Linked DNA regions of Danio rerio. The protein of the gene in region 2 purifies or fractionates together with the protein of the main gene of each other region. This does not show direct contact. Links are inferred from orthologs where the notes say so. Each region holds a gene or a part of one and is shown on either strand. Other genes may lie near its edges. The genes, in order: wdr19 and ift140.

Evidence for each region.
Region 1: the proteins of ift140 (region 2) and wdr19 purify together in Homo sapiens (co-immunoprecipitation; 3 studies listed by BioGRID and IntAct, with this or other methods). This does not show direct contact. The link is inferred for Danio rerio from reciprocal best matches to the Homo sapiens genes IFT140 and WDR19.

The regions. Positions count from the first base shown.
Region 1 is NC_133176.1:23,073,952-23,077,787, forward strand, and holds part of wdr19 (WD repeat-containing protein 19), read right to left. Parts: intron 3,521-3,836; coding exon 3,443-3,520; intron 2,227-3,442; coding exon 2,130-2,226; intron 1,682-2,129; coding exon 1,557-1,681; intron 1-1,556. UniProt on the Homo sapiens protein: As component of the IFT complex A (IFT-A), a complex required for retrograde ciliary transport and entry into cilia of G protein-coupled receptors (GPCRs), it is involved in cilia function and/or assembly.
Region 2 is NC_133199.1:41,562,928-41,566,345, forward strand, and holds the end of ift140 (intraflagellar transport protein 140 homolog), read left to right. Parts: intron 1-564; coding exon 565-706; intron 707-2,105; coding exon 2,106-2,291; 3' UTR 2,292-2,678; downstream 2,679-3,418. UniProt on the Homo sapiens protein: Component of the IFT complex A (IFT-A), a complex required for retrograde ciliary transport and entry into cilia of G protein-coupled receptors (GPCRs).

The DNA.
Region 1 (3,836 bases), on a different chromosome or scaffold from region 2:
TTCCAGATGGACCATAGTAAAGCTCAAAGTGTCTTCTTTCCAATGATACCTAATCATTGTTGTTTGTACCTCACTGGGGTGAGCTAAAATCTCCAAAAGTGAGTTCAGTCTAGCAGGTTAAACCAGTACAATTGACCTACAGAAGAAAAAGAATTAATAGTTACATAAAAATAGTTAATAAAAAGCCATGAGCCTTTCGATTTCTTTGCGACCCCTGGGGGGATTACGTTAAATTAAAGACACAGCTATAGCATCAGATGCAGCAGATTGATTTTATAGCAACAGGTTAAACTTTCGGACACCTTTACAGCACCCATATATATAAACAAGAAATGCACATATAAAAAATAATAATGATAAATTCAAGCCACAACTAAACATAGATGATGGTCTTCGAGTGGCATTCTCCAAAATTAAACAAAGAGTAGACTTAGGCCTATTGGTAGGTGTGCACTGTTGTGTGCAGGGTTTACATATTTACAGTATAACCACCTCAGAGGATCTTGCGGCTCGCGAGTCACTGGTATTGTTATTTTGGGGGTCACGAATTGAAAGGTTTGGTAACCTCTGGTCTACTTAACATTTCACTCGCCCTTAAAAATTTAGACCCTTTTTAAAACCTTTTAAAGGTCATGTTCAGAGAACTTAAATGAAATTTGTTGAATTTAATAATGGTGATATTCAAATATGGTTTATGAAATATTGATAAAATGTGCTTCATTTGTCAGGATTTTAAAAAAAGTCTAAAAATGTAAGTACTTTTAAATACTTTCAAGAAGCATGAAAACCCTGATTCTTCTTATTCTTATTATTAATTATTATTATTATTATTATTATATTACAGTATAACTTAAATGTATAAAAAGTACATTACTTTTGTAATGTAAAGCAAAATTTTTAGCGGCCAGTAATCTCTAGTGTCACATGATCTGTTCCAATATTCTCAATTCATTCCAATAATCTAATTTGCTGGTCAAGAAACACTTTTTGTTATCAATAGTCATTCATTCATACATTTTCTTTTCGGCTTAGTCCATTTCTTAATCAGGGGTCGCCACAGCGGATCAACTGCCACAGCGGAATCAACCGCCAACTTATCCAGCATACTTTATGTTTTACACAGCGGCTGTCCTTCCAGCCACAACTCAAAACTGGGAAACACCCAGACCTTCTTGCAGTCACACATATATACTACGGTCAATTTAGTGTATTCAATTCACTTATACCGCATGTCTTTGGACTGTGGGGGAAGCTGAAGCACCCGGAGGAAACCCACACCAACACAGGGACAACTTGCACTTTACACAAAAATGCCAACTGACCCAGCTGGGGCTTGAACCAGTGCCTTTTTGCTTTGAGGCGATTGTGCGACCCATTGTTCCACTGTGACGCCAGCAATTTATCATATTTATGAAATACCCAATAAAAATATTTTTCATTTTTTATCTAGCATATGACAATTAATATATAAAGTAATAATTGAAATATTAAATGTAGTGACCTTAACATTTTTTTCAATTGTTTTGCTACTAATAATGATTGATGGTGTTTCTCACCTTCACTAATATGTAGCTGTGCAGGATCATCAGGTTTGTGGCCATCTCTGCGGGGATTTTAATGTGCTGCGTCTGAAGCTCAGCGTACATGCTGAACAAAACATCATGGGCATTCCGGTAGTTTCCTACAATACAGACATAACATGTACGTCACAAAAACCCAGGATGGGAATTCCCTGACAATACACAATTTTTAAAATGGTTACTGCACTGTTTGGTCTTTGCAGTTACTGTATGTAAAGGCACAAAATGCTCTACATTGCAAAATGAAGTGAGTTTTTCCTTAAAACAAGCTAAATAATCTGCCAATGTGGTAAGTAAAATAATCTTATTTTTCATGCTGACATAAGATTGGCAGATTATTTAGCTTGTGTTAAGTAAAAAATCTCTTAAATTTTGACATACATCTTAAAACAAGACAATATGTTTTGCTTGTCTAAAAAATGCTTCTTGATTTAAGAAATTTTAGATATTTTAATTAGAAACAAGACAAAAAAATATTTTCTTGCAGTGTAAAATACCAAACGACAACCTGGTTAGTAAATAGATATCCAAAAAGCACTAAAATCAGACCTGCAGATTGCTCCTCTCTGGCGATTATTATCGCAGTTCTTGCTGCCTCTCTGTATTGTTTGAGAGCCATATACAACCGGAAAAGATATTTTGCATCCTAGAAAAGAACAGAGCCAATAAACATTACACAGTCAATGGTTTTTCTGATAGATTTTCATGCTGCTAATGCTATATACCAGAATCATCAGATAAAATATACCAAAACATCTACAGTATTGACCAGAATCAAACCATTTTCAAGCATATACTGCATATAGTTCAATTAACTACAACAAAAACAACACAAAAACAGTCAAAACATAAAAACAAAGGAACTATACAGAAACAAGCACACTTTCATATATGCACACAGACACACACACACACGCACAAATTTCGTGCTTTCTGCTAGAACACTACAATGTGAAGTTTCAGCAGATGCACTGAACTACTCACGGCGAGAGACTAAATACATGCAAGAGAGAGAGAGAGAGAGAGAGAAGATGAGTAAGAGATGATGAGTGCAATGACAACAGAAACACATCAGACAAAAACAACAAAATTAAATATCAACAGAAGCAGATGTTTTGAATGTGGTTTTTAAAAGAGGACACACATTTGTGATAAACAGACAATAAAATGAATTAAAGATATAATAATAAACGATAAAACAGTGTTTAAAGCTGCCTGAGGCTACACAATAATGCTCTTGTGTGTTGTAATTTAATCAAATATTGTTTCAAGGCATCCTGGAGCAAAGAGAAATCCAGTAGTTTTATGGAGCAGAAAAAATGTTTACGGATAGTTCTTTTAAATTTTGAGTTCAGCAATAAAAACATGAATCAACTGAATATATACGTAAGAACATGGATATACTGAATGATGAAAATACCCTTTTTATTTGTCAGTACAATTACACCACTACTATAATTTTGAGGAAATCATGTTTATTCAGGCATCTTTGATGATTAAAAGTTCAATAGAACTTTACCTGTAACCTGATTTTTTTTAAAACAATGTAAAAGTTTTTTACTGACACTTCCGGCAAATTAATTGTTTACTCAGAAAAAATATTTATAGATAGTTGAAAACAAATTTAACATTTCCTTGGAAATTGTTTTTTGTTTTCAAATTCCAAATAATATATTAAACTACAAAAAAAAATATTATATATATATATATATATATATATATATATATATATATATATATATATATATATATATATATATATATATATATATATATATTACCCGATCGTCACTGTATTTTTTTATATTTGAAGCTCTCTGCTCTAATGATTTATCTATTTCATGTTTTTTTTTTTTAAATACCTTTGGCATTCCATCACTTTCCCCCATCAGATGATCAATAAGCTGGTTGGTTAAAGATTCATCCTTAGCTTCTCCAACCTATTAAAAAGACCACCATAATAGTCAACTTTCTTGCAATACAATCTACAAGATAATGCGCACATAGAAAGTTGTTTTCACAGAACAAAGCCCTTCAGTCTTATACAAAAGCCCTATGCATTGCATTGCATTATACTGCTGATAAGCATGTCAAGACTTTATTCTGCAAAAACAACCACCTAAATGTACATGATCCTGCTTAATACATGGATATTAGTACACAAAATTAAACAATTAGACACAACACATCGTAAAGCTGACAGAAATAAAAATAGCTTATTATTCTGTCATAAGAACTGAATCTTTACCAATCAGA
Region 2 (3,418 bases):
GCACTGTGTATCATCACCTTAAAGCTGCAGTATGTTGGATTAATCATTGCAATCCAAATTGAAAATATTAAGGAGGGTTTTTTCACACATCCTCTTCCCAGGGGACTCGATGCACATGCAGGTTGCCAAATTGACAAGACAAACACTGCTTAGCTAATATTTAACTTTGAAATCTTTGTATTAATTGCTCATTAAAAACCACCTCATGGATTGTTGTAACTCTGAATCTGCGGAGGCTGCGACTGTTCTTCAGAGGTCACTTGAACAGCTGCGGCACATACATTAAGGCAGCCTTTATGCCTGAAATGAAATGTCATATAACTGAAATATAATTGGGTGAACTGGCTGTGGGCGGAACTACACAGACCAAAACAAAGACAGACATTGTGACACTGAGCGCATTTTCAAAGCAGAATAACTGACTTAAGCATTGTTTTTCAGATAAAATACCATGCTCACTTAGCATGTTTATTAAATATCTGCAAACATATCATGGTATTTTAATGCTTTAGAAGGTTCAAAACCTTGCATACAGTACCTTTAAGTGTATTTATGTAATTTTAGAATGCATGAGGAGGATCCAGTAGAAGCAGTGCGTTTGTGCGAGTCTCTGCTGGAAGAGAAGGATCTGGATCTGGCAGTGCGTGTTGGAGATGTGTACGGCTTCCTGGTGGAACACTACTGCCATCATGGCAACTTCACGCAGGTCTCTATATAATCCTAGCATGTTCTTTTTTTGTTGTTGTTGTTGTTGTCAGAATCTGTGTGCATTTGTTTTTTAAAGTATAACAAGTGGTCTCACCCTTATTAAAGATGTAGATGACTACATCAACACTGTGGGTTTATGTTAAAATTAGGACATATAGGAAAATATGTGCTTAAAAGCTTATTAATATATCCCATAAAGTTTAAAAATAAAGTCAATCTGAGCACAGATTGTGGCTATTAAACCACATGTACATTTACACTAAAGAAGTGATCTAGTCGACCCCTTCTGGAAGTGTTTGGAGGTCGACAAGCCTGTACGTCACATTAACCAACTATCCACCAAACAATTTAGTTTTTAAAAGACATCTAATAGACATACAAACTTGAGCTGCGTCCCAAATCGCATACTTATGCACTATTCTACGCCATTTTGTAGTATAAATAGTGTAAGTAGTGCGTTCACACTGAAAACTCTAAAAATAATGAGTGCACTTGAATTACCCGGTTGATGCACTCATTCAGCCGCTAAAATCAAGTGTGTAATGATGGACACTTCACACACTCAACGACCGCAGGTTTGCTTACGTAGCGGAAGGGGCGGAGCTATCGGACGCACATGTTGGATAACTTTATTTATTTTGGAATGAAAGCTAATTTCTCCTGCGAGAGTGATCATAGCGCCTCCCGTTGGTGAATGCGGTTGTACTCACGGCAGGTATTATTTGATAGTTTGCTCATTTATTTTACTGATTTGGCAACCGTCAAACGTCATCAGGGAAACGATTTGAACTTCCGCTTAGTAAAAAAAACATTAGTGTGCCATTTGGGACGCCACTACATACATATACTATCCTGTTGAGTGTGTAAGTGCATAAGTACATAGTGCATTGTGTGCCATTTGGGATGCAGCTCGATGTCTTGACTCAAATAAAGCTGAATTAGGTCTGTTAGCAAAAATGTAGTAGACGTCTAACAATAGTCCAAAACTAGACTAGTCATCAAATAGACAGATTAGACAGAGCTCGCGCAGTCATTCATCCCTAGGTATTTGATGGCTAGTCTGTTATTAGACTATTGTTAGATGTCTATTACATTTTATCTGGCAGACCAAATGTGGCATTGTTTCAGCCAAGATGTCCATATTTGAATGTCTATTAGATGTATTTTAAGCACAAAAATGCTTGCTGGGTTTAAATGCATTGACAACATCTGAAGATGCTTTCATATCTGTCTCACTTGTAGCTTTTGTTTCAGTACCTGACTTGTTTTCTGATATGTTTTTGGGTTATTTAATCTAAGAGTCTGAAAAACCCTGAAACCTAGATTAGATGTGCTTTTCACACAGATCCATTTAAAATAAAACTATAATTAAACATTGTGATTTGTGTGTTCATCAGGCATGGAGTAAAATAGAGGAATTGAGATCAACACATCCCAAAATAAACCTGAGCATGTATGTGAGTCAAACCAGTCTGGAGGCTTTACAAAATGCTGCTGGGATCCGCCTGGTCTACAAAGATACCAACACTCATGCTGCTGACGATGATGAAGAGGTGGAGGAAGATGAAAACATCAATCATTGACAACAATTCCCTCAAGATACTACATACATTTCACAAAAACTAGCCTACTAAAGTCTCACTATCAAGTCTTGGTTTACTCCTCCATTTTTCTAAAATGTGCCATGTTTCTATTGGACTGCCAGTCTAGCAGATGGGATGTTTTTGGGAGATGATGTGAGATTTTGTAAAAGCCATTTTGCAGGTTGCCTTAAGTAGAGAGTAGCTTGTTTGCGAATGCCCAGAATGCATATTTGACGTGCGAGGCCTTTCAATCAAGAATAACACGGGACCACTATATTCGAGTTTTGTACAATTTACAAACTATGTAATGACCAGACTTGTTCAACAACCTTTGTATCATATATATTGTACTTATTTTAATAAATATTTTCTATGTTTATTAAATCATATTGTGTTTTGAGTGAATTTCAATAGGTCAACATCTCTTGAAGCACAATGTCCAAATGGTTTATTCATTTTATGTATGACATGTAATGTGTTTTTAGTAACTTAAATTCAGTAAATCGCGAAAACCATTACAAAGGCGTACAGATCTTGTTGTTTGTAGGTAATCATGAAGTAATCGTCAAAGTCGGTGTCCCACACAGCCTCGAAATTAGCCAGCACTGATTGGCCAGCTTTCCCGCCTGTTACGATTTGAACTACAAACCGGTAACGGTCGAATAACTTCTTCAGGAGATCCAGTATTTTCGCTCTCAAGTTCTCTGAGACTGAACGGCAGCGGTCGTGGTCGTATTTTATCCCTTTAAATTCTTCTCTGACCAGTTCTTCACATTTCTCCCTAACCAGAAAAGGCTGGAATTTGTGCAAATGTTCCAGTTCATAATTATCCGGAACAGCTTGTTCGTCGCAAGACTCCGGTTGTCCTCCGGTGTCAGCCTCCGTGTTTCTGGTAAAATGATCCGTATCGGGAATCTTTGAACGGGACATATCTGCAAACCTTTGAATATTAAATGAATAACTTTATTCATTGACTAGTTAGGTTGTTTGTGAAAATACGATTAAATCTCACCTGACGCGAATAACGGTCGTCGCGCGTGTGCAGAAGTAGGCGAGGATCGGATTTTCAAAAATGACCAAGTATGATTGAAGCGTTTGGCGATAGTGATTCCGATTCTTTTAGTGAG